Yarrowia lipolytica: one gene and its partners. The protein of the gene in region 1 interacts with the protein of each later gene in a pairwise test. Links are inferred from orthologs where the notes say so. Each region holds a gene or a part of one and is shown on either strand. Other genes may lie near its edges. The genes, in order: YALI1_F01291g, YALI1_E00437g and YALI1_F04497g.

Evidence for each region.
Region 2: the proteins of YALI1_F01291g (region 1) and YALI1_E00437g interact in binary tests that used the Schizosaccharomyces pombe proteins (3 or more experiments, as listed by UniProt). The link is inferred for Yarrowia lipolytica from reciprocal best matches to the Schizosaccharomyces pombe genes paa1 and par1.
Region 3: the proteins of YALI1_F01291g (region 1) and YALI1_F04497g interact in binary tests that used the Schizosaccharomyces pombe proteins (3 or more experiments, as listed by UniProt). The link is inferred for Yarrowia lipolytica from reciprocal best matches to the Schizosaccharomyces pombe genes paa1 and pab1.

What each region holds. Positions count from the first base shown.
Region 1 is NC_090775.1:124,989-135,706, forward strand, and holds YALI1_F01291g (uncharacterized protein), read left to right. Parts: upstream 1-4,159; coding exon 4,160-6,028; downstream 6,029-10,718. Other genes in the region: YALI1_F01248g (uncharacterized protein), read left to right, coding at 1-1,055; YALI1_F01275g (uncharacterized protein), read right to left, coding at 2,166-2,549; YALI1_F01324g (uncharacterized protein), read right to left, coding at 7,267-7,468, 7,516-7,607; YALI1_F01346g (uncharacterized protein), read right to left, coding at 8,335-9,666. UniProt on the Schizosaccharomyces pombe protein: Phosphatase 2A affects a variety of biological processes in the cell such as transcription, cell cycle progression and cellular morphogenesis, and provides an initial identification of critical substrates for this phosphatase.
Region 2 is NC_090774.1:37,564-48,887, forward strand, and holds YALI1_E00437g (uncharacterized protein), read right to left. Parts: upstream 6,189-11,324; coding exon 3,807-6,188; downstream 1-3,806. Other genes in the region: YALI1_E00389g (uncharacterized protein), read right to left, coding at 266-1,384; YALI1_E00412g (uncharacterized protein), read right to left, coding at 2,130-3,686; YALI1_E00510g (uncharacterized protein), read right to left, coding at 8,719-11,324. UniProt on the Schizosaccharomyces pombe protein: The B regulatory subunit might modulate substrate selectivity and catalytic activity, and might also direct the localization of the catalytic enzyme to a particular subcellular compartment. Has a role in cell shape control and septum formation.
Region 3 is NC_090775.1:445,943-456,079, reverse strand, and holds YALI1_F04497g (uncharacterized protein), read left to right. Parts: upstream 1-6,355; coding exon 6,356-7,780; downstream 7,781-10,137. Other genes in the region: YALI1_F04580t (uncharacterized protein), read left to right, coding at 1-172; YALI1_F04559t (uncharacterized protein), read left to right, coding at 175-4,077; YALI1_F04455g (uncharacterized protein), read right to left, coding at 9,573-9,645. UniProt on the Schizosaccharomyces pombe protein: Phosphatase 2A affects a variety of biological processes in the cell such as transcription, cell cycle progression and cellular morphogenesis, and provides an initial identification of critical substrates for this phosphatase.

The DNA of each region.
Region 1 (10,718 bases):
TGATGGCCTTGGCGATTTTCGAGTGGAGAGATTATGACCGGATTGGAGGCGTGTGTGACGATGCTGCCATCGACAACAATAAATGTGAAGAGCATGAATATGCCACCTTCAAGGTCAAGCCCGAGGAGACTGACAACCTGTACTCCAGAGTCTTCTCCTTTCCTCTGAATCTCCAGAGCATCCAAAAGTTCCGGTACACGGTGTTTAAATCCGGCCAGTACTGTGCCATGGTGCACCCTGTGATCCCCAACGATGACTTTGCCGCCAAAATGTCCATCAAAAGCGCATATGGGTTTCTGGGAGGTGGCGAGGTGGGTCTGCTGTTACTGAGCCGTATTTCAATCATCTATCATTTTGTGACCTTTTCCATCTGGTTCTACGCGTATAAAAAGAACTCGAAACACGCGGTACCTGTCCAGAAGTACCTCACCAAGGCCATGGGTCTACTGGTGCTCAAGTCCGTGTTGGTGTTTGTCAATCTGTCTATGACGAACAAATACGAAACTGCGCCTGAATTAGTCGCCACGGTGGCATCCATAGTCAAGCCTGTGGCCGACTCGCTCTTTCTGTCTCTTCTGATTGTCATGTCTCTAGGTTATGGAACCATTGTCCAGTCCAAGTCTCTCAAATTCTACTTTCTGTCGTGGGTGGTGAAGGGAGGTTGGTTTTGTGTGGCCTATTTCCTGCTCAAGCCTCTCAATCTCCCCATTGACATGTCTGATTTCTCTCCCGAGGCTCTCAAGATCACCTTCTACATCCCCATCATGCTGGGTCTTGTTGTCACCACCCGGTATCTGAAGAAAACTAACCAGTCGGCACTGGCCAGACGAAGTGCCATGCTCACCATGGCTCTACTGGCTCTGGGAATCGTCTATGCAGGTGTCTACCTGACCTTTAAAGCACACGTGCAACAAAACTGGACTTTGTTTGAGTACCAATGGTTCCTTCCAGCCTGTGGAGAGCTAGCTGCGGAGATGATATACCACCTTTGTTTCTGCGTCTTCTGGTTCCCGAGACCGTTACAAGCAGCAAAAGAGATTGATAAGGAGATGTAACGAAATAGTAATTGATTGCTTTAATCAAATGTGGACCTGGGGAACTGTAACCTCTGATCTAGGACCGAGACTATCAGTACAACCAACTACAGTTGTACCCCTACAAGTGTAGATACAATCTCTAGACCAGGGGAACTCGTTAAATTGGCCTATTTTATGGATTAATCCAGACACTAGACTGGGTTGAACAAGGGTCTTTGGCCTGCGTTGAAAGCAGTTCGATCTAGACTTGTACCTAACTCTAGCTACTGTAGTGGACTTTTCCAAAAAGAGCTTAGCCCAGGGGATCCAATATGCCCACTCGTGAGACACTGTTAGCGTCTTATAACCTCAAGTCTAGACTTATTCAAAACTACAAGTAGTTCGCGGCGGTCTGTCTGGGTCTACCCTCTTACCACGACTGTCCGAGGACTAGTAGCTCTATCAACATAGGGGCCCGGTCATTGACTAATGGCACTGTCGGATTATTATATCTCGGGGTTGCTCCTGGAACGTATTGCCTATCATCACGTCACTCGCCAGACTCCTCCTAGATAGCTCGTTCAGAAGGTTTTTCCTAAAGCCCAAGTTAGTTAGATTTTAGTGGAAGGAATTGGTCAAGTGAAATACACCTGGGGATTGAAACAGGGGTTGGTCATAAAATATGGATTGATATCGACATTATGTAGAGTGAAATGGTCCTGGCATTGTAGTAGAAATGCTCACTTCATATAGATTATCATCGAGTACACATCTCTCTTCTCTAAGAATTTTCCCATAATTACTTAGCTTTAGTTGGGATAGGAATTTCAATACACGGCGTGACCCGTTTATCAGTCCGAATGGGTCTAATCTAGTTCCAGAACGACCAAGAACCGTACACTACAGTACGGCACGAGAACATGAACGAGAACCGTTCACTGACTATCCCAGATCAGTACGTGGCTTCTCTACGAGCTCCTACCATAGAATGACCAGTGCCAATTGCCAATTCAGCGCTGGACAGTGTCATTAGTGGTTTCTATAAATATTGGTAATAAATAGTTAGCTGAGGTTGTCGTTGGCAATCCCTGCCCGGTTATTCTTCTATCATTGGTGATCTTCTTCTATCACCTGTCGCCTGTCCTTTCGTTAGTCCAGTCTCATGAGCAACACCAACATGACAATATAACTGGCCAAACTGAAGGCTGCGAACCAAATGACGGCGTTGCCACTGGTGATGAAGATCCGATTGCCAAGCGTCTCCTCATACATCATGTGGTCCGTGATCCGTTTGCGACGCAGCGCAACCACCAAAATGAGAATCCCACAGGCCGTGAAGGTGGTGCCCACAGGCATGAACTTGACGCTGAACACCTTGAGCACCAGCAGCGCGAACCCCAACTGACCCATGGCCGACCGATAGTACGCGCCCTCGAACGTGCGCTGCATCGCCCGCACGTCTAGCTTTTCATCCTTGTTGAGCTCCGGAAAAGGGGTGGGATCAATCGCGTAGAACCGCCTGAGTGTGGGCATGCTGTTGAGTGAGAAGATTCAGAGCTGATGGCGACGTCGTGGTAATCACGTGACTGTATCAGTGACGTTGTTGAATATCAAGTCGTGGGGAAATCTGTTCTTCTCTGAACAACAGATCTCTAGTATTTGTTGTCCTTGCTAAACGAGGTATAAGTGCCGATACAGTACATAGTGTACGAGTATAAGTGAGTAGCATGGATACAGCAACTGATGTGACCCTACTGAGAGACCGGAGTGGTGTGAGAAAAGCCGGTGATTCCAGTGAAATGATGAAGACTAGATGGTACGTAATCCCCGTGTCTTTTTTCCGGCAGATTTTGGCAATTTTTATACATGTTTCACATTCGAGTCTGGCCTATTTTTTCTCTCTGAAATTTTGGTTTTCATTTTTTTTTTCTTCATATTTTTAAAAAATTCATGTTTTCTGGCTTGCCTAATTTGCTTCTCTGAACCTCCCCCCACTCGCATCTCGGGTGCAATTCCCACAACACCACACTGACGGTAGGGTAATGGGCGGGTTGACTGTCGACCATGAGCAGGTGGGTTTTTACGAGTACAGGTACTTGCACGGATCTACATGTACATTTCTGGGGGTTCTCGTGATGTTGAGAGTTCTGAATAGATCAAAATCTTCCGGCTCAGCTTTTATTCCAACTTATCTATACATCATCGATTTAGAGTGTTTAGGACTGAATAGTACATACACTGTACATATATGAACAGAACATGTCTCTCAGAATCATATTTGGAGAGAAAAAATAATCAATAAAAGTCAGCAGCCGATATACCAATAGCAATCTGAAACCACCATAAAAGTTCTAATACCTCAAATGTACCTTCTATCGCCCCAAAAGTGGTTCTACTCATCTCCCCAGGCCAGTCCTAACCTGTGAGGTTATAGTGATCTGTGGAATGGCGGCATGCACGATAATAATGGGTGGTAATTTGACAATGTGACAATGTGACAATGTGACAATTTGTTAGTGGAAAAAACTTTCGTGCACCTATAGATTAAGAGCCAATTGAGTAATTCGTGCCTATAGATTAAGAGCCAATTGAATAATTCGTGCCCCAAATATTCCTCATAATTGACGGGCCCAGTCCTTTTTTCACTTGCTACTGCAACTCCAACTGCTCACTCGCGGGTCGAGGTTGGGAGAAAGTGCATCAAACTATACGGCGAGAGAAACATGTACGTGTTTACTAGAAGACAATTGTCTGATGAGGCCAAAGTAGTACAGCTAGAGACGTGAAAAAAACACATCATTAGACAATTGTGGACCGTCTGACCAATCTCGATAATTTTCAGACCCCCACATGGCCCCAATTTTCCACAAACCCGACCCCCGAACCAGGGCCAGGGTTGCGACAAACCCTCGACATGCACGTTAAACTGAGCTTGGGTGTGACCATCAATCACCACACTCTCTTCACAACAACAACCACACAACATAGCCATCAACGTGAGTATGAGAGGGCGAAAGAACCGCAGGAGAAGGAACAGTGACACAAAAGGACGGCAATTAGTTTTGATGGGATAGCAGATCTGCTCCACTCACTCATGAGACTTGCCGCCCGCGCTCTGCCCCTGGTCCCACCCACTAACCCAGATGGAACAAGAAAACATTGACATTCCTGACGAGCTGTACCCCCTGGCTCTGCTCATGGACGAGCTCAAACACGACGAGTTTTCGCTGCGAATCTCTGCTATGAAAAAACTGCAGCTCATCGCCGCAGCCCTACGCCAAGAGCGATGCCGTGACGAACTCATCCCCTTTCTGGAGGATGTCACACAGGAGGACGAGGACGAGGTCCTGACCGTGCTGGCTGAGGAGCTCGCCAACCTGGTTCCCTACATCGGAGGCCCCGAGTACTCGCACCTGCTGATCCCCTCTCTAGAGACCCTGTCTTGCATGGAGGAGCCTGTTGTTCGGGACAAGGCCGTGGAGTCCATCAACCGAATCTGTGAGGGATTGCCGTCACGTGATCACGTGGCCCAGACCATCCTGCCTCTGGTGAAACGGCTTTCTTCTGCAGAGTGGTTTTCCTCCAAGGTCTCTGCCACCGGTCTCTATGCTGCTGCCATTCGACACTGTCCTACCGAGGCTGTTCCCGAGCTTCTCAAGCAGTATGGAGAGCTCACACGAGATGACACCCCCATGGTCCGTCGAGCTGCCGCCACCCACTTGCCTGCAGTGATTGAGGCTTTGCCCGCGGAAGCTGATTCTCCTGAGGCCGACGACGAAATCTACTCCATGTTCAAGGCACAGGTGGGCGACGACCAGGACAGCGTGCGACTGCTGTCGGTCAACGTGCTGATTGCCAAGGCCGAGAAGCTCAAGCGACAGGGCAACTCGCAGCACACGTCTTCGCTGATCGAGTTTGCTCTCGCACTGCTCCATGACCCCTCGTGGCGGGTGCGATACATGTGCGCCGACCGGTTCGAGAAGCTAGCCGAGTCGCTCACCTCAGTGGTGCCTGAGGAGGGCGTGGAGAAGACGGAGGTGGACGAGATGGAGCGAGCTTTTGTGCCCGAGTTCATCAAGTTCATGCAGGACGGCGAGGCTGAGGTCCGGACAGCGGTGGCCAAGCAGGTGCCTGGCTTCTGCCGGCTCGTTACCCCCGCCAACCTCGACAAGATTGTTGCCAACGTCGAGGAACTATCTCAGGACTCGTCCCAGCACGTGCGGGCTGCTCTGGGCTCCGAGATCTCGGCCCTGGCACCGCTGCTCGGCAAGGAGAAGACAATTGAGACTCTGCTGCCTACATTTCTGCAGATGCTCAAGGATGACTTCCCCGATGTGCGGCTCAACATTATTTCCAAGCTTCATCTGGTCAACAAGGTGATTGGTATTGATCTACTGAGCCAGAGTCTGCTTCCTGCAGTCTCGGATCTCGCGCAGGACAAGCAGTGGCGAGTGCGCCTGGCCATCATCGAGTACATCCCTCTGCTGGCCACACAGCTGGGCGTCTCCTTCTTCGACAAGGAGCTGGGTCCCCTGTGCATGACCTGGCTGTGGGACAGCGTCTACTCGATTCGAGAGGCCGCCACACAGAACCTCAAGAAGCTGACCAAGGTGTTTGGTGTGGACTGGGCCAAGGACGAGATTCTGCCCCACATTATCGTCGTTGCTGCGGATTCCAACTACCTGTACCGACTCACGGCCCTCTGTGCCGTGACCACACTCATCCCCGTGGTGGACGAGTCGATGATCAAGACATCCATTCTGCCGTTCATTGCCGAGCTCATCAACGACCCCATCCCCAACATCCGTTTCAATGTGGCCAAGACGTACACAGAGTTGGTGCGGGCTCTGCACGAGGAGAAGATCAGCTCGCCTGAGGTGATTGAGGAGATTTGCACATCGACCGTGATCCCCCACCTGGAGCGGCTTTCCACCGACGGCGATGTGGACGTGCGCTACTTTTCCACCAAGGCTCTGGAGGACATTGCCGAAATCAAGAAGGCTCACGCATAGGGTAGGAGACGGGCTGTGGACATGAATTAGATGAATAGTTAATGAGTATAAACGGACGCGCGGTAGTGAGAGGCCGCTTGCAAGAGCCCTGTAGCCTTTACTTTGAGAAGAGAAAGTAAACGGTTTTAATACGGCTCTGGTTGAAGTGGGTGATGCGAGTATGTAGGAGGCTACTTATAGATAGTTCTTCAGGAATGTAAGTTACCCGTGTATACCGAACAACAGGGCTAGACGCTAGACGCTACTCTTTGTACCAACTCGTACCTGTACAGAACCTGTTCAGGACGGGTGCCTATTGTTAACATGCCCAAGGGTACGATTACTCTAGTGCACTTGAATCGTACAGTACTCTCTTGAGAGAGTCAATTAACCGACATTGTAGACTCCTCGCTTCTCGTACCCATCGTACAGTACATGAACTCGTGCCGAACGCACATCAAGAGAGGTGCAGCACTAAGTTGTCCCCTCATCTTGTCGAGTTCCCACACCGTTGCGCACGCACCCAGCTCGTATTGCAGTCTACAGTAAGGATCAATTATCTGTGTTTGGAGCGTCTCGGCTACATGTTTCTGTTTCAGCCGTTTTGTTTTGAAACAGAGACAGTGGTGAGGTGACCCGGGTCACGGTTTCCGAAGAGTCATGGGGCGTTGCGAGTATCGTACAAGTACTTGTAGATCTACTGGCAGAACTACATACCATATGATGATCATCTACCAATCGGCTACAGATTTTCATATTCAGGTTCACGTGATTTTTGGGACCGATGACATTAGAGAGTCATATTTCGGATGAAAAAGTGAAAATTCAAAAAATCAAAAATCAAAAATCTATATACGCCACCGTTGGTCTCCACGGCTTTGCTACTCACGCTTCTATCATCTCCACTCGGAAAAACGCATGCAACGGGTTGTGCAGATGGCCGGATTTGTGTGTGTATGAGAGGAGACAGAGTCTACACTATTAATAGAGCACTTGGTGCATGCATACTCGTACAAGTGCCCAGACCTGTTGTCAAGGTACAGTCATACTTGTATCCGGTCATCTGTGATGGCTGATGACATATGTCCCGCCGCCTACAAGTATGTACTGTACAGCACTGGCTTTGCCTGTCACATCGGTTTGCTTTTGCTTCTTCCGCCGAGGTGCCAGAGCCCATCCCAGATACATGAGGCATGTCAGATGGAGATGGCCAGAGACAGCTGTTATACATGGTGGCAACCGTGTCTTGCCCACCCGTCTCAGTGACGTAATAATTGTGCACCAACCGAACTCTGTTCCCTTTCTGTCATGAGAAGATGTCCCATGCACAAGGTGAAGGGTGCAGTTGAAACATCCGGACAAATGTCAGAGTCTGGCAGCAGGCGTGGTGTTCCTGGATTACACGGTACAAGTACTTGCACGGAGCTTGTACTATACTTGTGAACGATTCCATAACTGATACTATTCTTCAGACTGACACTTGTTGACAGTCACTGTAATTACATTACAGCAATATGGGATATACTCGACATAATATTGACATGCAGAGGGACAAAAAATTAATTGTACAAAATAAATAGCAGACCAGCGTGTATAACATAGTAGAGTGTGTGTATCAGATGTGACAGTATCAGCACTAGTATGTAATGTCACATATAACGGTCTGAAAGACGTTTCGTGATTACAGTACCGGTACAGTACATAATAGGGTGGTCTTAATCAGTTATTATAATTAGTTAGAATAAATTAGAATAAATAAGCAAATGATCTAGAGACCCTCGAGGCCCCTAAGTAAGTCATGACGACCCCTAAATAAGTCCCGAGAGTCCCGAAAGGAGCCCAAGATGGCCACGGCTAGCCCTCACTCTATTACAACCCCGGATAGAAATCAAGATGTATTGAAATGAAATCTGCAAGTAAGATGCAATAGAATAAATATATGGTGGGTTGAGTGTCCATCGAAGTCATCCAGTGACAAAAAGTAGAAGTACGGGTTCAGTAGCCTGCGCGTGAGAGCCCAGGCCCCAAACAAACGCACTGTGTTGCATAGAGGGAAAGTGATTAGTGTCCTTGAAGCTGGTGAGAAATATCTTGTGGATCACAAGCTCCAGATATGAGCCTTGAGATGGAGGCCTCATTTCAGATGATCCTCCTCTGAGCCCTATAGTCTGCATCAATGCTCAGACTCGAGTGCTTTTGGTCCAGGACTCAGTAGACCGGGTGTCGCGATGGTGAAGTCCCCTGTAGAGCCCTAATTCAAGGCAGGACTTCTGGCTCGCATAAAACTGAGCGTGTAGCCGGCCTAGACTGACAAAAGCCTCTGGCACCTAATCTTCGTCGCTCTCCAACGCATCCTTTTCGCCCAGCAAATGCTTGTGCCAGTCCATCAACTGAAAAATCAACGTCATGTTCGGTCCGATTTCCGGCGACCGGTACTTGACCCAGTCATAGGCTGCATTCAGATCAAGCTGCTGCTTCTTCATAATGTAAGCGATCAGCAGCGACGCACTTCTTGAGACTCCACACTGACAGTGAACCAGCACACGCTTGCCAGCAGCACTTCTGTCATCAATCAGCTGCGTGAGATACGGCAGGTCAGGCAGGAACTTGGAGTTGTGTCCCCAGGGCACGTAGACGTACTCGGGGTTGGTCTGTCCATCATTAGCATACTGCTCCTCGGAGAACGGGTTGTCAATCTCCTTGGCCACGTTGATGACCACGTCGAACGTACGGGCGAGCTCCACAGAAGGCTCCGAGTACAGGTAAACGTTGCTGGGGTAGATGAGCAAGGGTCCATCTGGGTATGCGTTCTCATGGTGCACGGAGGGAGTCATGAGCTCCTCTGCGAACAGGTGATGTTTGCTGGGTGGAAGCGCATCGTCGTAGTTTGGTGGCGGTGTAGTGTGTGTAGTGTTATCGGAGTTGGGGTCCGATTCCGAGTCCGACAGCGACAGCTGAGAGGCCGCGGAGTTGGCGGAATGGTGCGACTGGGACGTCGGGGTGCCCAAGGGGGCAGGCAGAGTGTTTGAGCCGGAGCACGTGGCCAGCGGGATACTGATACTCAGTTGCGATGTTCGTCTCTGCATCGTAAACGGTGGTGGTTCCATACTGAAGGGAGGCACACTAGACACAGTGGCAGAAGCGGCTGGTTGTACCTGCGGACTGGGGGACTGTCTCTTTGGGGAGGTTCTGGAGTGGTAGTTTTTGTGTTCGCTGCGGTAGTCACTGTCGTAGGCTGCGTCCTCGGGCTCGGCGTCGACGTGGGATCGTTTGACGGAACCCTTGCGAGACAGTCCCAGCGAGAAGGAGGCTGCCAGAGGAGAAGCAGCAGCAACCGAGGGGGCGGACGCTCGCACGGGCGTCGAGCTGACAGGCAGCACAAACGGCAGCGGCGCCGCTATCGAAGGCTCTATAGATGTGTGAGGCGGCGAGACATTGTTATTGCTGTGGCTGTTGTGGCTCTGGTTGCTACCTTGAGGTACCATCAACGACAGGTTTTTGGTGTTGGAGTTTTTGCCCTTGGGCGGTCGGAACGGCAGGTGGCGCGGCGGCGCCGGCAACGAGTCCATGGCGTCGGGATCGTGTATCTGTTGTGCTTGTGGGTGGTGGTGGTTGGAGGGCACGTGCGAACCCGCCATGTCGGCCACCGAGCAGTTCATGGGTATCTGGGAGAGGTGAGGAGAGTTGGGGTTGGTTCTGGGCCTGTCGTTACGGGACTCGAGTCGTGAGAGCTGCGGGAGAGTGCCGGGTGCGCGTGGGGGTTGCGAGTATCCAGATGAGTTGGTTCTCGGGCGTGAGTACGTCGCACTTTGGTGTGTGTGTGTGTTGTGTTGTGCGGTGGTGGTGAGGCCAATGTATATTCAATATACATGTATGTACAAGGGAGTCTATTCTGGCTTTTTGGCAAAGTTAGTGTGCACCTTGTTTTTTAACCTTCGTCTGAGGCTGGCACTCTGATCTATTTTTGTGTACGCACCCACATGTGGGAGGTAGCTCATGTGAGTTTATTGTGCTCCCATGTGAGCGCTGTGGTGCTATAAATATCCATTGTGGGATGGCCAAACGCCAGCTTGGAGCGTGAGGACGGCGCCGCGAGATTGGGCAGGGCATTTGTAATTTTTTTTTGGGGCCCAACATTGATTTTTCCGGTTTTCACTTTGGCGTCATGGCAGCAGAGTCCTCCACTCGTACCTTGCCTTCGCCCTTTACTCTTTACCCCTTGCCTTTGTCACTGTCTCTTTTTGACCTTTTTGTCCTTTTTTTGACATCCTTGATTTACAGTACTTGATTATAGTCTTGTTACTGTGGAGGGTGCACAACACAAGACTGTGTGGGAGCGTCGGGAGGGGGAGTATCAACAGAGTCGGCATACATTCGTACAGTACAACGTGTACATACCCAGCTAGGACGGTCCGAAACCAGCTGCAAGTCCCCCAGATTTCGGCCACACGTGCCCTCCAGCCATCCGCCGACTCACATTCATTCCTGATAGTCGCATCTGAAGCACCCTTGTTTTGCACCCGTGTTTCAACGTGAGACGTGCAAAAATTAAATGCATCTTTTCACGCACTAAAACTAACCGACACCAGTGCACCCAAGTGAAACCTGCGGTTTTAGATTTGGCAGGCCTGCACGCTTTTCGTTGTTGGTTTCAGGACCACTCTCAACGGAGGTATGGGATGACGTATGAACGTGGGAGCAGCAGCGAGAA
Region 2 (11,324 bases), on another chromosome or scaffold:
GAAGTTCGCTCCTGCAAGAAATCACTCTTTTTTGCATCTCTACTGGTCTTGCCACAGTGCTGCGTGTATTCTCCCCTTCTTCGTGAACCCAATCACCAACGGTTTTCGGAGGTTGTCAACAGCGTACAGTATCAATGTTATTTTCCAAATGCGGACAAGAGCGCACTTTAAGTACACGGTCGAATATCGTCATGATCGGATGTGCTAAAGAATTTATACTGTAGAATCTATAATATGTTTGTTGGGGGGGGGGAGGATAATGTGGTTAGTTTCTGAGGCTAGGCAAAATGTGGTTGCCAGATCGACCCACAGCGTTCACGTCAGGAGCAGGAATGCCCTTGTTCTTGTTCTGGAAGTAACCACTCTCAGGCACATTGTTGAATTTCCAGGTAGTGTCAACGTCATCGTTCTTGATGTCAAGCTTATCAGCCACAAACTTGAAGATATTGGCGTCAACATCCTTTCGTCCAAGATGGGGAAGCTTCCAGTTGGCCTGAACCGTAGCAAGGTTGGTGTAGTGGTCGTAGAAGGTGTCGTCGGTGGTTCCCTTGAGGTGGTCAGGAATAGAACCACCCAGAAGAACGGCATAGACTCGGTTCTTTGTCAGGTAGTTATGATTCTCGTCAAAGGTCAGAATGATGAGGTTGTTGTCGTAGAAGGTGGGGTTCTTGAGCAATGGTCGGATGAAGCTGGATGACCACTTTCCAGCCACCTCAATATCGGAGTCGTGGCCATCGTTGGTCATGTTGGGAGTGATGAAGGCCCACTGGGGCAGGTCAGCGTTCTTGAGATCTTTGTAGAACTCGGTGAAGTTCTTGAGGTTGCCCAGGCGCTCCTTCTTGTTGGCGACAGAGTCGTAGTTGATGAGAGGGTTGTGCTTTCTCACGTAGTCGTTGGCTCCATCAGCGTTCTTGAACTCATAGCCGTCGTAGCCGGTGTATTGGCTGGTGTTCCTGTACTCGCCCCAAGAGATGTGCTTGGTGTCGAGCAGATCTGCGACAGTGGCCACCTCCTCAGGCACCCGCTTGAACGAGTCGGTCATGTCTCCAAAGTAGTCTCCGGACACAGCGGCAATGTAGTTGGGCTGCGAGGGGTGAGTCAGAGACCAGTAGTTGGTGAGCAGGATACCCTCGTCTGTTAAGGCCTTTAGGTCGGCCTGTCCGAACGCCTTGTCGTAGTTGGTGTTTTCCAGCCAGATCTGGTAGTATTTGTCAAACACCTGACCCTTAACGGTTTCGTAGCCCTCGTCCTTCCAATGGTTGGATTTAGCGGTTGCTGCCGCAGAAGCAATAGCGTCTGGCGAGGGTTGGATCTTGGAGAATGTGGGGGGAGCAGCGGAAACAGCTGTAGCCAGCAGCACAACAAGAGCAATATCGATCTTCATTTTCGTGCGTAAGAGAGAGAGTGGTGGGTGCGGTATACAGATCCCGATTAAACTGCTATATAAGCGTCCTTTTGCCTCTCATGTACCTCCAACTCTGCGCACGAGGGCTCACTTGCCCACCTGTGTGGGTGCAGCTAAAACCAACTCTGATGCTGATAAGCAAGCCTCAACTGCATACACAAAGCGGCCAAGGCGACAAAACTCAGGGCGAATGGTCAATTGCTGAAGCGTGATTTGTTGGGAGGATAATAAGCACGTTTGAAGGAGCTCAGGACGGCACAAAAAAGAGACAAGAGAGACAAGGGCGACCGTAAAAGCCCGAAATTAACGGTCAGCCACTTCACGGCAAATGAAAAGAAGATCGTTTGGGCCGAGGCCCAGGCTTCTAATGTATGCACTCACGGCTCATACAGCAGTTAAAGTGCCTTGCACTTGCTACAGAGCACGGGACCATATGGTTATATTAAACAAAACCTATATTGTATTGTTTAATAAAAGGGAGAGATTATATGAGACCCATACAATAGATTATGTGTATTACGAGTAATGTATGTACTGTACAGTACTTGTAGCTAACGTGAAGGGCCGAGAATGCCGCATCCAACTGTGAGGATCTTTGTAACTGTCAATGTCAAACTACAATGAAAGTACAATACTGTACACGATGTACGTCATTCCGACACCACGTGGGAAGGATGCACCGGTGCCATGCAGAAACGCATGTATAACTACAATAGCCACTCGCTTACCACCCAGAAAAATTACTGTTGGCCAACGAGGTGATTCGCTTCCTCTTTTGAGAAATGGACGAGGTGGGATCGTCAGCAGCGTCTTCTGCAGGCTCGGACAGCTTCAGATACCGTCCAATCTTGCCACTCTCTCCGGTCTGCTTCTTTAGAAACGGCGAGTCATCCATGGGCGTCGTCTTCTTATTGGCCTCTTGTGCATTAATATGCCCACCCTCCAAGAAAGAAAACGGGTCGCTCGAAACACTAACACTCTCCAACGTGATATTTTTCACGGGTTTGTCGTCCACCGTCTCAGACAGCTCCAACGTAGTCAGAAACGAGTTGTCCACCACCCGTCCAAACACAGTATGCTTCCCGTCCAGATGAGGGGCTCGGCTGTAGGTGATGAAGAACTGGCTGGAGTTGGTTCCCTTGCCTCTATTCGCCATACTTAGCACTCCCCGACTATCGTGAGTATGAGGGTTGAAGGTCCCGCATTCATCTCTAAAGGTTTTGCCAAAAATGGACTCTCCACCCGAGCCAGTGCCGGTAGGATCTCCACCCTGGATCATGAAATGCTTAATGTTGCGGTGGAAAATGGTGCCATCGTAATACCCCTTCTGTGCAAGCTTGACAAAGTTGTAGACCGTCAAGGGTGCATTATAGGGATACAACTCCAGGTTTATTTGACCTCGTTTGCCCTGGCAATTTATCGTCAGCAGAGCATATACTGGGTCCTTGAGTTCAGCCATCTTGGGCTTAAGCTTGTCCACCAGATCCTCCTCTATCACAGTCACCTGAGTGGTTGGTACATAAGTTGTGGATGTCAACGAAGCTGCCACGTGATGGGTTGTGGTCTGGCCAGTTCGATCCGTAGGCTTGATATCTTGTGCTGACGAATCTGCCTCTCCTTTTTTCACTAATGTTCCATCCCCTTCCTCCATCTCAGCAAAATTGCGTAACCTCAACACATCGGTCTTGGTGAATGCTTCGTCGCTCACAGGATCCCTCCCACTCTTGCCTAGCTCCTTGATTGTGTCCTCCAAATATACCCGTTTGCTTGGCCGCACAACCACGGCATTGTGGTACTTGCTCATCTCCTTGAAGCTCACGGGATCAATAATCTTGCCCTCTCCATTCACTGTGACTGTCAGCTTCATGAGATCTGTTCGAGTCAATGTGGCTCCAGGCTCCACTGGATGCGGTACGCCCTTCTTGCCGGCCTTTTTACCCTGCTTGACAATGTAAGGCACAATGTTCTTGATGTCGTAAACGTAACCCAGCTTGTCACACATCATGTTCTTGTGCTCGATAGGTTGCTGGCCAATAGTGCAGTGCCAAAAGGGATTCTTCTGGACGCCAGATTGTGCCTCGCTCTTTTTTCCGCCGCCGACACTGTGATCTCCTAGTGCCCATTCGCTCTGTGTAATGTATAACTTGTCGGTATTCTTTCCCATGTTGATGGTGCTGATGGCAGAAGTTACATGCAGAAATATCGTGCATGGCCCAAACCTAAGGCAAAGTTGTACAAGTACACTGTACTCCTTGGGTGGCATGCGAGTGTGCAAGTACATACTTCTACTCGTACTGTAGTTATACAGTAGTTTACTGTTGTCCGCTCAAGACCTGTGGTCTTCCTTTCCGTAATATTTGTCTTCAATAATTAATCCTATGTCCATGCTATTACCTACAAGCTAGTATCCAAACGGAAAGTCACTGCTACCGCGAGGGGTGTGGAAACCAGTATGCTCCTCATCGTTATGAGCAACGACAGGAGTCTCATGGTTAGTCACAACCCCCAGAGGCTGGATATTGTGGGGCTGTTGTTGTTGCTCAACACCCTGCTGCTGCTGCTGCTGCTGCTCATGCTGTCCAAGTCCCTGGTGCTGTTGGTGCTGCTCGTGGTGGTCATGTTCCATGCCCTCCTCGGGACCCTGGTTATTAGCAAGCTTGTTGCTATCCTCCTCCCCCTCCTCGGGAATTCCGCTCATCTGCAGATCCCGGTCCTCGGTCTTGAGCATGGAAAACTCCTCCTGGGCCTGGTTGAGCAGCTTGGCAAATTGTGGCGAATCAACGTTCTCCTGACTATTGGCCGCACGTTCCACCACCATATCCCACCACTTCGCCACCAGCGCCTCGTGCTCCTCCTTGAGGTCTTGTCGCTCTTGGTACACCATGGTGCACTGGTCAAACAACTGCGGATTGGCTTCCATGATCATTTTCATAGTATTGTACACCATAGAGTGGATGGTGCGGTTCCAGTGGCCGCGGGAGTTTTCGTACAGCGCAGGGAATATGACCGGCAAGATCTCGGTGATGTTCTCCGACATGAGCGTGCAAAAGTACTCGTTGTTCCAATAGTACAGTGCCCGTTCGGCCACCTGGAAATGCTGCGACGAGATGCACTTAGCTAGCTGCGAGAAGAGGGGGATCTGGATCCGCTGGAACTCCGTCGGCTCCATCACCTCGAAGATGTCCTCAATCTCGTTCAGGAACATGACCTCCTTCGACGAGTTAACCTTGGGCCAGTACCGCAGCAAGCCCAGAATGACTTCCTCGGTAAGCGAGGGGTCCTTTTCCAGGAACTGTACGACACAGTAGGCCAGCTGTGGGTGGTACAGGCTCAGAGTCTTGGCCTTATGCAGAGGGATGAGCACCCTGGACAAGAAGATCTTGTGCTCGTCCTTGAGCGGCAGAGCAAAGCCGTTGATGATGGAGCCCAAAATCTCCAGCAGCTCGGCCACGCCATTGAACCGCTCCGTTTCATAAATGAACTGGAAAAAGACATTGTTGATGGACCGCCGGATATACGCTCGCAGATTCAGGAACTTGCCATAGATTCGGTGCAGAGTAGTTTTGAGGCAGTCCCGCTCCCGAATGTCTTCGCTGTCAAACAGCTCCAGCAGGTTCTGCACAAACCGGTGGTCGATGAACTTCTTGGCAGACGTGTGGTTGAAGTCCGGTGATTCGATGAACTTGAGGAAAAACTCGTACACCAGTTGCATGTGGGGCCATGCGACCTCGCAAACAGGCTCGTCCTCGTCAGGATCAAAAACCTCTCCTACCGGGTTCACCAGTGGAGGCGTGGGCCGGAAGATGTTCTTGCCAAACATGCCCACCACCTGGGCGTACATTTCGTCCGTGATTGTGATGCGCGTGTTAGCGACAAAGTCCAGCAGCTCGTGCAGAGCCATCCGCTTAATGTCCTTGCCCTGAATGTCAGACGACGGGTCGCCAAAGTCGAAAATGGTATTGCACTGCTTGACCTTCTGCAAAAACAGCTCCGCGCGCTTTCGGAAAGGCACCTCGTTGAAACCGGGGAGACGCTCCAGCTCCCGCTCCTTGGAAATTTCCAGACGGCTGGAGTTGTGTCGACGGGGGGTTTTGACCTCAGGGCCGTCCGCGTTGAGCAGCTCAAACGAGTGGCGCTTGGGAGGCTCCAGATCGGTGGGCATGGTCTCCAGCTGGCCCGGAGACGACGGGTGGTGATGTGGGGTGCCCGAGTGCGTGCTCATGTGGCCGGTCACGTGGCCCATGGTCACGTGACTCGACGCCTGGGCCGAGCCCAGTTGCGTAGGTCCCTCAACGAGAATGGCTGGCGGTGTGTTTGTGTCCATCTGCTGTCCCTGCTGCTGCTGGTTCTGCTGCAGGCCCTGGAGCGCTGCCTGTGACTGGGCAGGCTGTTGGGGGGTCAACATGGAGGACACGTTGCCGGTCGAAGGGTTGGAGTTGGATGATGTGGCAGGGTTGGTGGTGTTAGCATTGCTGCTATTGGTGGTGTTAGTTGCACCACTGGTGATGTTATTGTTGCTGTTGTTGTTGCTGCTGGAGTTGTTGTTACCAGAGGACCCGCTGACAGAGGTTATGCTGCTGGCACTCGAAGACGAAGAGACCGGCGTAGCGGCGGCCTGGACATTGGAGGGCGTAGCGGCAGCAGGGGTGGGCTCAGGGGTTTTCTTGCGGTCGCCTAGCGAGAAAGTGCGCTTGGGTCCGTCCTCCTTCTTTTTGTTTTTGGTCGACGACTCGCTGTGAGACTTGGACCGCGACAGCATTCGCTGCTTGAATCCTCGCATCATCTTGGTTGTCTCTGATTTCGTCGTCTACGTCGCGTCGTGTGTTTGAGGGGGGGTTGTGGCAGCGTTCGTAGCGTGTGTAGTGTGAGGTGTGTTGTGTGCGTGTGTGCAGTGTAGAGTAGCTTGCTCACAATGGGGAGTGGTGTCGTGAGACTTTTTTAGACGTTGCGAGTCTACCGGTCCAATGATACGTTTCCGCCTTTTGTGTCGTTTTCAAATCTGGTCTCGGCGTACGTATCAGACAATGATGGATGTTGTATGTCAGTTGAGACGTCGACGTGGATGTAGCAGCTAGCTAAGTTCACTGATGATGTGTGATGACCATACAGATAGACGAACTGTGTGTGTGTGTGTGTGTGTGTGAGTGTGTATGTTTTGGAGAGAGTTAAAATGGAGGCGAAACACTATGGACGGAGAATGCACCTACAGTGGTCTACTACAGGCTCTGAGATTTGAAACGGCGCTTTTTGAACCCCGGAAATTTCTCGTATCATATCCGACACATCATCATGATTTATTATTATTGCACTGGTTTGCTTGGGCTAGGGCCCCAAACGTGGCAGCCAAAGTTTATCCTCGTCGTACATTACTCTACAAGTAAAAGTGATGGGCATTTGTAATTACAATGATAGTAAAGCGCCGGTACGAGAACTAGGTAGCCCTGAAGTGTAGATGGGAAGAGACGTAAGAGTTTTCACCATGGTAGGTTGATAAGCCAAGCTGTTTTGGCCAATCTGTTCAACCAATCACAGCTGTCTAATACCGCACCCGCGCTTACACAGCTGACTAACATGCTGTGTTCACTCCGACCCTTCCCGACTCAAACCCTTCACTACACTCTCCTCCCTTCCTAATTGAGGGACAATTAACACCCCATACACCGCCACGGTCCGGGCAACCCTAGCTACGGTAAATGCCTTCCTACCAACCGGGGCACACGACACTGGTCTAAACCGAAAACTCCACCGACTCGGCAACAGGGGACTAAAAATAGACGAGTGTGGTCTGGCTCCACCACTCTGGGCACGTGATGTGCCCCTGTTTCTCATGCATTCCAAAGAAAGAGACGTGTTGTTTTCCGCAACCCACAAGGAACTTTAATGTGCGGAGACGACGAGAAAACAATGGTTCCAAGTACCGTGGAGCTAGCTATTGTACAAGTATTGATGTATACTGAATATGAAAGCAGGGCTGCATCATATTTAATGAATCACCTTTACCTGGCCACCATCTACCTCTTAACCATCCCCCCCCCCCCCCTCCACCACACCAATCACCCTCTCCACACCGCACAGCCTCATTTGACGGAGTGAAACCTCAACCGATATTAAGCATCTTCGGAGCTTATCCGATTAGGGAGTGTACAACGACAATTATGATATTACACGCGTCCATGTGGGGTGATAATAACGAACCGTGGATGGGGGAGGGCTGGTCACGTGATTGGCTAGTCACGTGACCACTATACGCCCTCTGTTGGGTCGTCTCTGTATCCTATGCCGCAGTACTTGTAATTGCGCTCTTATTAGAGCAGTTTCTTTGGGGTAATTATTCATTCCATGCATTTCATCTCATTACTTAGATTTGATCGGAAGAGATTCCCAATTAGACACGGTTCCTCAAATCTTGTACAAGTGCAAGTGCGGTATCAGGGTTACGGGATGAGTAGAACGGTGTATCAAATAAATATGTCGAATGTACGTACATACACAATTGGGTCGTTATCACAGCATGAATTATCGCCATTGCGCCCAGTCTCGTGGTTGAACCCTCTCATCCGATCCTACAGTAGTACCGTGGTTGTAGCGACTGTCTCTTGTCACACTTGCCTCTTATTGAATGCACTGTGGTGATAGCTGTCATGGACTCAATCATTTTTATACATATAGCCATTGATATAGCCATTGGTGTACAGTACAAGTACAAGTACTAGTACGAGTACATTGTACCATATTGTATTCGTGTTGTATCAGTTGCTTACGTACATTCGGTACATGCTGTTTTTCCAACACTTGCTAAACAGCTGTGGAACTACATCTTTTTTTTTTTTTTTGCCAACGGCTACACAGTCGCATTCCTATGCTCCATGTCATCCCATAGACAGATACAAGTACTAGTACAGTAGCAGTAGTACATCCCTTGCGAATTCATCAACAGCCATCCCCACCCCACACTGTAAGTAGTAGTTCCATCCACGTTAGTGCTATTACCCCGCAATCTATACACCCATCTTTAGTTCCTTACAACTCCCCGCCCTAAACATACGATACACGATACACCACAGAAACTTCAACAATCAATTTCAAATCATATTACACTCAATTTTCATTTTTTCATATTGTGGGTATTCTGCGACAAGCACAACAAAATATCAACCCCCTGTAACAGCGGAGGCTTCATCAAAGTGTACCGTCTTTTAGTAGCGCGTGGAAGAGTCACGGTGGACATGTAGCTGTCGTCAGACACGCCGGACGAGTCCGAGTCGCTGTCGCTGTCAGACACCCACAAGACCGCGGGCTCAGAAAAACAGCGCTTATTGGCTTGCCACTTCTTGGTAGCCGTTGGTGGACTCTTCCGGTACCATTTGATCGGCACTGACACTATCGGCAGCCGCTTCCTCAGAGATATCACCATCAATCCTCCCATGCTGGTCCTCGTTGTTTTGCCCAGACGCCAAGGTCGTAAGCTCCACAAATCGACGGATCAGAGGCACCTGCAAGACTGCAGGGATGTACGAGTCCAGCCGCTTGAGCAGACGGGGCTCGCAGATCTCAAACGGACCAGAGTCCTCCAGAGGAGAAGTCTCCAGCAGAAGAACAGCGTTCTTCTCCAGCTTGACCTTTTCGGAGATTGTGTTCATAATCTCGGACGAGATGGGAGCCTCGTAGTCAGCAGACAGGTACTGGCCAATCAGACGATGGATCTGAGAGGGAGTGAGAATCCAGCAAATGTCGTAGATGATCTCAATATCCTCCAGAGTCGACTTCTTGAGCTGCAGCAGCTTCGCGGACTGCATAAGGTGCTCCAACTTGACCACGCCGTCGGCAATGTCATGCGACTTGCACCACTCCTCGATTCGGGTGATGTTGTAGTTGATCTGCAGACCTCGCTTCCACGACAGGAAGTTCTTTCGCATAAGCAGGTCGTTGAAGGCCTTGACGCCAATCATGGACAGCAACTCCATCAACGACTGTCGCACGCTGTGCTTCTCGTTGAAGTAGCAGGTCATGGCCTTGTACACCTTGTTAAACAAGTTGAGCAGATCATCCATGGAGTAGGACACGTTGGAGGTGAACATCTTGGCGAGGAAACGGCCGTTGGAGTCTGTGGTCATGAAACCAGGGAGAGCCTGTGACAGCACAATGGCGGGCACAATCATCTTGTCCAGTAGCTTCTTGAGCTCCTTCATCCATGTGTGATAAATGTTAAACTCCAAGTTCTCCAGATCGGCCTTGACCACGTGTACCAGACGTCCGTACTGCTGGAACTCGTACTCGCCCATCTCGTCCATAATGTCCACGTTCTGGGCAATGTTGGCCTGGGCAAGACACACGAAAGACATGATCTCGTGCACGTTGGACAGCCAGAATGCGCCGGGGTAGATCACGGCCTCGCCGCTGAGCTCCAGAATGTGCTTCTGGATGGCCTCCATGACTCGGGCCAGGAACCGCTCGGACTCCTTGATAAAGCCAAGCCGCCACATCTCCGAGGTGATCAGGTTAAGAATGTGGGCGGGGAAGAGCACCTCTCGAGGCAGAAACTGGTCATCCGACGTGTGGGGGATGGGGATGTTGAGTTTGTGGATCAGACCCTCGATCACTTCATCATACAGCTCGTCGCTCTGGGACTCGAGCAGCTGCTCAATCTGGCCATTGACTCCGAGAGAAGCCATCATCTGCTCAGCGTTGGCACCGGCAGCAGCTCCCATGGCAGCACCGGCAGCAGCGCCGGCGGCAGAAGGTCGGGGAGTGAAAGCAGCAGCACCGTCAACGATGCCAGCAGAGGTGAGAGATCGACGCTTGATGTTTCGTCGCTTGGCGTTCATTGCTGTGCCAGGAGTGCCTCGAACAGGAGACACTGAGGCCATATCAGAGGCAACCACGCCGTTCTGCTTGAGTTTCTCAATCTCGTGCTTGGCCTGCTCCAGCTGCTCGCTCAGAGATTTGTTGGTGTCAATGTGCACGTTGGTGGCCTCAATCTTGTCAGCGACTTCCTTGGTCTTGGCCTCGAGCTCCTGCTTCAGAGCAGCGTTGGCGTCCTCCAGCTCGGTCAGCTGCGCAACGGACGCCTGGTATTGCTTATCCAACGCAGCCAGCTTCAGCTCCATGGTTTGAACCTCCTCCTGGTGGGCTCGCTCCTTCTCCTCAGCGGCATTCTCCAGCTCCTCGACCCGAGAAGAGTTCTCGGTGGACTTGGCGGTGGCAGCAGCAGATCGGGCGTTCAGCATGTCCATCTCGGCCAGCAACTTCTTGTTCTCGTCCCGCTTGGCGGTCAGACTCTGGGTGAGCTCGACCACCTTGTTCTCCAGTCGGTACTGCACCTCCTTGAAGTGCTTCTCGGACTTGGCCTCGACCTTGAGCTGCTTGAGCTGTTGCTTGGCCTGTCGTCGTCGGATCAGCGACTGGATGAGCACAATGTTCTGCAGCTTGTTACGGTACTCCTTTCGAGCCACATATCCTCGGAAGTTTCGCTGAATGGTCAAAGCAGCACCCTTGTGGGCCACCTCCTGGATGTTTCGTCGCACAAGAACACCCCGGAAGATGGCCTGCAGCCGGACAATGCCCTCTCGCTGCTGCTTGAAGTCTCGTCGACCAGAGAAGCCTCTCCACGCAGATTGGATTTTGACAGCAGCCTGCTCCTTTCGCAGCTCCTGGAACCTCTCTCGAGCAATGTGGGCTCGGAAGAGCGTCTGGGCAGCGATAATCGACTGTCGGGTGTCGAGATACTTTTGTCGGTAGAACCGCTTTCGCACATTCTTCTGGATGACAATAGCACACTCGTTGAGCCGGTCGGATCGCAGCCGCTCCAGGTAGGCGAGCATTCCTGCTCGGAAAAAGATTTTGGTCTTTCCGAGTTGGAATTTGTCCTCCTCCTTGATGGTCTTTTCTAGAATTAGGTTGCACAGATCTCGCACCTCCA
Region 3 (10,137 bases), about 320 kb from region 1:
CGGGAGGTGCCCGACATTCCTGTCTACATGCCACTTCAAAGTTTTCCACGACGGTGCGACACTCAGCTCGGTAGACGAGATTGTAGAACCCCCGAACAGTCCCCCGAACCCCCCTAGGGTGACCACTCTCCATGAGGTGGACACAATGCTCCGACCGGGGCAGAACCAGTAAGCATGTCTTTCACCTCTACTACCACCCCTTCTAAAGCCCCATGTAAGAGCACCCAGGCCAAAATGAAATCTCCGAATGTTAAAGTCATCACGGCTAACATCGGCGGTTTTAAGATGGCGGAAGCGCTTAACCGATTACCCGACACCATTGTAAACATTATTCGAACTACTCACTACCCCGATCTCGTCCTTCTTCAAGAGACGAACTGGGTGGACTCCTCCCTACAAACCGCTCAACAAATCATTTCAAACTCGCCCTACCCGGGGGGCAGACACTACACCCTCCTCGGCTCCACAGCTGGTGTTTCTAATAGAAGCGTCGGCGTGGGGCTAGTCTATTCCGACAACGTCACCATCACAAACTTTACAACAGTTTTTGAATACTTCCCAGCCCTAGACAACAGACTGTGTTTGGCCGACGTGCACATCAAAGGCACCGACAGACACCTATCGCTGATCAACGTATACGCACCAAACGAGCAGGGAGCCTCCCCCTTCACTAACCGGCAGTTCTACCAGTCACTAGACGACTATCTACGCCTCCATCCCTGCCAATACCCCCTGATAGCGGCAGGCGATTGGAACGCGGTCGCCTCCAACGACGGCAGGATTGGCGAAAAAGTGACGACTCACCTTAAGGACTTCTTAGCTAACTGGGACTTACTAGACACCTACACTCTAATCAGCAAACACAGAAAAGGCCTCTACACTCACACCAACAACAGCCGCGGAGCTGGCAGGCGCCTGGATCAGCTGCACATCTCTTCGACACTCTCACAGTGGATCAAATCCACACAACTGGTAACCAACAAGCAGGGTCACAACATCACGAAGTCCTCTCACCACGCGGTCCAATTCGTCTTTAACTTTGGCAACCTCACCCAGCGACAAGACAGAGGCCCAGGCACCTGGAGGATGCCCTGGTGGGTTTTTGATACAGAGTACATTGCTTGGCTCAAGTTCCACGTCAAATCCATTCTGAAGCGATATGGTCCTTTGAAGCCCAGCCTGAAGCTGCAATGCCTGAAAGAAAACATTAAGGTCACCATCCAACAGGAAGCCAAAAACCGCGCACTTCGAGATTCCAACCACCCAGACAACAGACGCCGCGAGGCCCTCATGGCAACAGCCTCAGACTGGCAAGCCTACCCAGCTAACGAGCCATACCCGATGCTCCATGCTCGGGTCGAACAATCCAAGCAACAGATGGAGATCCACTCCCTACGGAACCACCAAGGCCGAGTGAAGACCGACACCTCCTCTCTCTGCGACATCTCAGCTCGATACTTTGACAACATCTTCGACAGAGCTGCCGATATCAACGACACCGACGACAGCGCCTTTTTAGACCTCTTCCCCGAAGAAACCCGGAGGGTGAATACAGCTAACCCAAGCCTGGACTCGTCTTTTACCAAGGAGGAGATCTTCGATACCATCAAGGCGTCTACGCACAACAGCGCGCCAGGGCCAGACGGCATCCCGTACAGGTTCTACCGCGACTGCTGGGATGAGCTGGGGGACTTGATGACGGACGTCTACAACGAAGCTGGAGCCGACTCGCCCATCAGCACCGAACGCAACACCGCTATCATCAAACTACTGTACAAGTCGGGAGATCAGGCCGACATCTCCAACTACAGGCCTATTTCTTTGATCAACACAGAGGTGAAGATCTACACACAGCTCATTAACAAAGCCATCCAGAACATTCTTCCGGACAGCATTCACGGCGCCCAAAACGGTTTCGTACCGGGTCGACACATCACTAACAATCTCGACACCATGGATCATTTTTGCAACGCCTACTCCCAGCTGAACATGGGTTGGGTCGTAGGATCACTGGACTTCCGGAAAGCCTACGACACTATCAGCCAGAGTTGGGTGATAAAGACGCTTCGAAATGTGGGTGTCTCGGAACTGATGATCAACCGTATCCTAGCTGTACAACAGAACGCAGTAACGAGAATCAACATCAGAGGTGTCCTATCTCGCCCAGTCCGCATCAAGATCGGAGTGAGACAAGGATGCCCTCTCTCTCCAACCCTCTTCATCATCGCAGTAGACGCACTTGTGCGTCGTCTGGACCGAGAGATGTTTGGACTGGCCCCAGGCCTGCCACTATCCCACCACCACACCACTGGGCACAGGCCGCCACAACCCCCTACTCACCCGGAGGCAGTGGCAGCTGGACACATGAAGGTGTCGGCTTTCGCGGACGACATAGCGGTGTTCCTCAACAACATCCAGGACGTGGCCACGGTTGGTAGAGTGCTCTGCCTCTTCCAACGGGTCTCAGGCCTCACACTAAACCCGTCAAAGACGGTGCTTCAGAAGATCGGCCCCCCCGATTGTTTTGTTCCACTAACCTTTATTGACGCAGAATGGCAGCGAACAATTGACGCCACCTGGCCAACCGACAACAACACACGACAGGCCCCGACGCTCCGGACATCTGACAACATTTTCCGGTACCTCGGAGTACACTTCGGAAATCGCGAAAGGTTGGACACGCACTACGCTCAGATCAAGGAGGACCTCAAGGAGTCGCTGCGACGCCTTTCACTATGGGGTCTCCCCTATTACAGCAAGGCGTGGATGATCAACATCTACTTCTTCTCGAAACTGAATTTCCTTGGACCCTACGTCAGCCAGATCGACAACACCTTCATCCGAGAGCTGAACGAACTAGCGTGCGACAAGATCAACAAATTATCACCCGACAAAACACGCAAAACCTTCAGCAATGGTTTCATCCAAACTCCGGTAGGCAGAGGAGGACTGAACCTGCGGGACATGGGACGTTTCATGGTGTGCCTGAAGGCCGCTCGGGCTTACAGGTTCTTCCATGGCTCATCGCCGGCCCTTTGGGACTGCACCTTCCAGTTCTACAGCAGAACTCACAGTCTCACACAGGAAAAGCCACACCAGCGCGTCGACTGCCGCTTTCCGACAGGCCAAGCTTGGGGCTACGCAGCCTCCCCCACCATGCGAGACGCAATCAGAGCTTCTTTCGAGCTCAACAAGCCCCTCACCGCGGAACATGCCAACCCTCGAGAAGATCACGAGCCCTCTACAACAGACACAGTTAATCACAGAATCTGGGAACGAAACCAGGTGAACGTGAGAGCAGCAGAATCTTTCCGGGAAGCACACGTCGACATCGCAGCCGCGAGACGATACCATCCGGTCAGAATGGTGTCCACAGCGGAAATCGACCACCTCCGGTGGAGCATGGGACCACTTACTCTAGAGAACTTCATGTTTCACAAGACCTCGTCTCCCGACTTGCCAAACTTCCCACACACACTTGCACGACCGAAGAAGTGGACTCAACGAAGCGACTACGGGGGCATCTCTGACGACATGGTCTGGCAGGAGGTAATGCATGACCTTCGAAAACACTACATCGCCGACGCCAACAAAGCACAAGTTCTTCACCTCATGCGGATATCTCGACTTCCGCTCGTGAAATGGAGATACCCTGACGACCACGTTTTCACCAAGAAGAATCCAGGATGCGGGCTCTGTGATAAGGCCATCATTCAGGATCTGCACGAGCATATCTTCTGCAAGTGCGAAGTTCTTCTTTCCATGTTGACCAGGATGAAGATTCCGTCAGTGGACTCTCTAAAGGACTGGATCTTTACCGAGTCGAAATGTGGAGTACTCCCCTCTTTCCCAGGGCATGTGAACAGTGACGCCCCCCGGAAACATCAACAAGTCAAGACACGCAAATATCTGCGGGAATTGGCTTATGGGATCTGGAAGATGGAGAGATCCCTCCGGTACTCAGGGGACGACGCCACCCTGGGACATGTCCAACAGGGTTTGCTTCAATTCCTGAAGGAAGCCCAGATGTGTTTCTACGATGGACAACCGCCAGCACTTCACGATGAGCGAGAGTAGACACAGTAGCAAGCGTAAAAGGCGGCCGAGGCCACCGAGAGAACAGCGTAGCAGGGCGCGTAGTCACCACAGGGGACGCAGAACCAAACCAATGACGAAGAAGAACCACAAGGAGAAGTTTTCAAAGGCAATGCAAATGAAGAGGGCAATGGAAGGATTGAGATTAGAGAACTGGAGACTGGAGTGGCGTTTTCCCGATGAACGAACAAACACGCGAAGCTATGTGGACCAACATACAACACGGACTGAACCAGGTTTTTTTATGATTTTTTTACTGGAAATAGGTACGTGCCAAGTTGGACCATGACACTAAACGTGTTTAATTAGTAATATTCGTGTAAGCGTACATTCATTTCAAAGGTTATTCTTTCACGGCAAAGTTATAATTAAATGAATGTATATGCAGAAAAAAAAAAAAAAACTTGCTCCAAAGAAAAGACATTGATTAGCTGAAAGTCAGAAAAGATAGCTATGGTGTTTTTGTGAAAACCAAGTACAACCACTGTACTTGGATATATAGTATATACTACATTCACCAATCCACAACAATCTCAGTTACCATACTGATAATTACACTATCTATAACTCTTCCCAAGCGTAAACAGTATACCAAATGGTCGTACTAACACAATACCCCACCTAACTATGTCAAAAGTAGGAATATTGGAAATATTTAAAAACAGGGAGAAAACCCGTGCTCAGAATATCTTTTATACACTCTCAAATCCCATAAAAATTCTCAGAAAAAACCCAACACAAGCAATGTTACATTTCAGATCTAGATCGAAACTTAATGACGAAACAATCAATACAGATACGCCTTAGACGGCTCTAATTATCACTCTAATTAGGACCTTTGTTGAAATGGGCAGTTGAGTGCGACATTTCAGTCACGTGATGTGGTCTCCGCGGGCGAGTAGTTTTGTCGTCCGATGACGTCATAGTTGCGAGTGACAGTGGTGTATGAGTATGTACATACGAGTACGACTACGAGTACGAGCAACTCCTCACATTGGGTAAAAGGATATCACGTGATGGAATGATGTGTCACGTGACCAAACCTATCTTTACACAAGGCCCTGTCTGGTATGTACAGTACATACGTTATATACGTAATATCCGTAAACACAACCCTCCACATACCCCACATTACTGTGGACCCCTTCCCCCTTGCTGTCTCCCAATACGATCACCAAACGTTGTTGCTGCGCTTGGGGCAGAGGCAGCAAGGTCTCTGGGGTTGCCGGGGGGAGGCCGGTTGTTAGGGATTGAGGATATGTTTGTGGCGTCTGAGTGTTTATGAGTAAGGAGGATTTTTTTCTGAATTGATCCGATTAAATTCAAATTTCGGCGAATTCTCACAGAATTACCTCCATTATATTCGATTAGTTTCGAAATAACGGGTGTGTTTTAAATACGCTCGCGTAGATCGTCACGTGGAGAAAAACACGAATCGGAGAATATGGGTCGTGACGGGCTGAATTATGCCAAATTATGGGCCTTTTATCGAATTTATCAGCCCTCCAGGCGGTGCAATTGAGGCGTGCTGGACGTTTGCTGTTTGGAACAGTACCGAACGGAGGGGTGGAGGAAGGTGACGAGAGGTGTGGGGCAGGGATAAAAAGCGGGTAAAAACGAGAAAAATATTTTGAGCTTATTAAAATGGTCGGTAAATCTGGGCGATTATTTTGGGGTTTTCAGAAACATCCTCAATGAGCCGCCTCGTCCTCCTGAGGCTCCAGTCATGGCGTCACCCTCAAAATTAGAATTGCAGGAGGGTAATTCGGAAGGTGGTTTTTTTTGAGCGAGATGAGATTAGGGTGTGGATGGAGCGAGAGGGGGTCCATAAATCGGTGTTCTGGCGTTGGTTCAGAGCGCAAGAAAACATATTTGTAGTAAAGTCGTGATTTTAAATCCATTCCAGCTGTTTCCAGATCTCTAACTCCTTCCCATCACCTCCTCATCGTGTCGTATCTTCTCCTCTCTCTACATTACTACCTCTTACTCTCTCCCAACCCGACCTGCATACATTTCTCACAGCACAGTTTGCACCACTCTACTTGTTGTTTGACCGACCCCATCATCACCACATCATCACCGTTGTCCATCGACGTTTGCGATAGAGCTATTTGGCCCGAGTGTACGAGTGGAACGAGCGGTACGAGAACGACACGCACAACACCAAGCAAAAGACTGAAAATCGACTAGCGACATCGACACACAGAGACACCAGACACACACCCCGAACGGACAGACACAAACACACTCTGACACAAAAATGGACGAACAATGGAAATTTTCCCAATGCTTCGGCGACAAGGGCGACATTGAAAACATCACGGACGCGGACGTGATTTCGACCGTGGAGTTTGACCACACCGGCAACTACCTGGCCACCGGCGACAAGGGAGGCCGAGTAGTGTTGTTTGAGCGGAACGAAAACAAGAAGGGATGCGAGTACCGGTTCTACACCGAGTTCCAGAGCCACGACGCCGAGTTTGACTATCTCAAGTCGCTGGAGATTGAGGAGAAGATCAACAAGATCAAGTGGTGCAAACGCCAGAACCAGGCCCACTTCTTGCTTTCCACCAACGATAAGACCATTAAGCTGTGGAAGGTGTACGAGAAGTCTTTGCGGGTGGTTGCCGAGAATAACCTCAGCGATTCGAACAACGCCGGCGCTGCTTCTGCAGCCGCCCCCGGCACCTCCACAAAGCCCAACCAGCTCACCATGGACACGCTTCGACTGCCCCGAATGACGCTCCATGACACGATTGTGGCGGCCTCCCCCCGACGCATCTACGCCAACGCCCACACCTACCACATCAACTCGATTTCGGTCAACTCGGACGGCGAAACGTACATTTCGGCCGACGACCTGCGGATAAACTTGTGGAACCTCGGCATTGCGGACCAGTCGTTCAACATTGTGGACATCAAGCCCGCCAACATGGAGGAGCTGACGGAGGTGATCACCGCAGCAGACTTCCACCCGCAGAGTTGCAACCTGTTCATGTACTCGTCTTCCAAGGGTACTATCAAGCTGGCCGACATGCGAGACAATGCTCTGTGTGACGGCCACGCCAAGCAATACGAGGAGTGGATGGACCCGGCACAGCACTCCTTCTTCACTGAAATCACGTCGTCGATTTCGGACGTCCGTTTCTCCAACGATGGACGATATATTCTCTCCCGAGACTACCTCACAGTCAAAATCTGGGATGTGAAGATGGAGCGAGAGCCCGTGCGGACCATCAACATCCATGAGCAGCTGCGTGACAAGCTGTGTGACACCTACGAGAACGACGCCATCTTCGACAAGTTTGAGGTTGTCTTTTCCGGCGACGGCAAGTCAGTGTCCACCGGATCGTACAACAACAACTTTATGATCTATCCGGATGCCGTCAACCCTGCCACACCCGAAGATGCCGAGATCATTCTGCAGGCCGACAAGTCCGCCTTCAAGCAGAAGAAGTTTGGCGTTCCCAGCGCCATGGGCGGTATTCTCAAGGGCGGCAACGGCGCCAACTCACCCAATGGCCGAAAGCGAGGCCAGTCTCCAGGAATGAACATGGTCAAGCGGGACATGGACTTTGACACGATTGATTTCAAGAAGAACATCCTGCATCTCAGCTGGCATCCCCATGAGAACTCGATTGCTATTGCGGCTACAAATAACCTGTTTGTGTTTAGCACTTTGTAACGAACTTAGGAGCAACGAAGAACATGTGGCGCGACGCGACCATGTGAGTAGCGACTATGGGAGAAGGAGCGGACACAGACGGATCGAGCACTAGATCGACTGAAAGGGGCATATGGGATACGGCTGGGGACACAATCTCGCAGCTCGTATGTGTTTTGGTATAGGTTGGAGGGATATATAATGAGTAATGATTATAGAAAGGACGGGAAGCTACTGGCCTTAGGCCAGGAGTGAAGAGCAACGTATCAGTGTTGTAGAGCGTGTGATCTAGCGTTGTCAGTAAATCTGGAATGCTTATGACAACGGTATGGAGGTGGTGGAGGTAGTAGATAAATGTAGTAGATTTGGAGTACTTGTAATGGTACACAGGCATAATGATGTACTGTAGTATTCGTCTCGAAGTGGCCATAATGACAAATTGGCTACGCTTGAATGTGTTTCGTACAGGAGTCATGCTCATGGCACATGTCTGCTGAGCAGCTTGTGCAACGGGAAGTCATACAAGTACTTGTTGCTGGACTTGTTCATACCTCAGTACCCAGAGACGATATATATATACAGTAACTTTTAAATTTTTTTTTAATAATATCATTACAGTATGTAGTGCAACATCTCTAACTGGGTTGATGAGTAGCATCGATTTTTCATGACAAACAATGCTGCTGGCTGATGGGATTGTGATTCAAGAGCCGATACTAGGAAAAATACGGACCAGTTTCTCATATCTAACGTCATTTCCACGTTTAAACCGAAACTGATGAAGGAAGAGCATTGGTAAGAGACGACCTACAGACCCAGTCTTCTCTGGAGGTTGTCAACCAAGTTCAGTTGACGAGTACAGTAAATACAAGTACAGTATGTACCGTACTTGAAGCGATGACTATAATACAGTACAAGACAGTGCAAGATACAGAAGATGACTTGGACAAGAGGTAATGAGCACTCCATTACGAACACTCCATTACGATCACTCCATTACAATAAAATTAGCCCGTCCTTCTAACTGCCCCAGACACCAAACCTCCGTCTAAATCTCACCGACAAGCACGTGCAATAATGCTTTAGTCTCGTCTTGCCCGCTCTTTCAACCTCTATCACATGTTACTGTACTGTATATCGTACTTGTACAAGAACCGGCACCTGTAGCTATAATGGATACCAACCACTGTACTGAATATATACCAACTACTGTATTGTACACAGTACAGTACAAGTACAATACAACTACTGGTACATGTATAGTATCTGGTGCACAAGCAAGACGTACAAGAAGCCCACTGTGAAGATCCATCTCACTCTACAGCTATGTACTTGTATATATGCAGAGTAAAAATGAACTTTCCATGAGATGTAGGAATTGTCTAATCACTGCCACTCATCCAAATATCTCCATCTTTCACTGGTCTACCACGTGTAGTACGAGGACTCGTAGGTTTAAGACATTCGATCTGGATCAGTCATCTGAACCAGTGATGTGTATCAGTGGGTCGACCAATGTACTTGGAACACTGCAATGAAATGAAATGTGGTTCTGGAGGTTGTGGGCTTGATCGGAGGCGTCCCATTAATTATTGATATATCCGACCTCCTCGTGTACTTGCAGCTTGTATTACATTTCGCCTACGTCCTACAGTCATTGTCGATGCTCGCTCGTCCTACAACTGTAGTCAGAAAGTCGAGGACGACTGCACATTCACTATATCTTGTCGGGAGACACCCGGGCTTTGCCCTCGAAGTTCCTCCGAACGCTCTACTTGTACCGTTATAATAATGCTTTAGCTATATCGCGAACTTAGTCAGATCGGATGTGTCGGTTGACGGCAGGGTTCCAGAACAGAGTCTTGTCACCATCGCCCCAGAAGAAGCTGTGTTAGTATAATCATTAAGAGGGCATAGTCCGTATTTGGAGGACATTCGAGGATGTCGTCCAAGAGTGGTCCACCAATGGGTTGACTCGAGACAGACACGGCGGTCGGGCCAAACGAGACGAACAGCAGCGCGACACGTCACGAAACGCGGTACAGTCATATACGGAAGACTCCCATGGGACTCTCAGACCAAGTCTTCAAGTCTCGAAATGTCAACCAATCAGATCGCTCCAATACACGCGTCACATGCCGTACGTGCCAATGTCCATCTCTCACGCCTCCACCAAAGGTGAACCTGCTCTGGATCTCGCCCCGTCCTTCCGTCAGGCATCACTTTGGTCATCCCCAGGCGTCTGAACGCTCTCTCAATACGTCCTTGTGTGTGTTACAGACAAACAACAGCTAAGGCTGTCAGTCAACGTAACACTGTCGTCTTCCCAACCACAGTCAGCTTAGCTGTCCGTGATCGGGGTGCAAACAGCTTCGCTC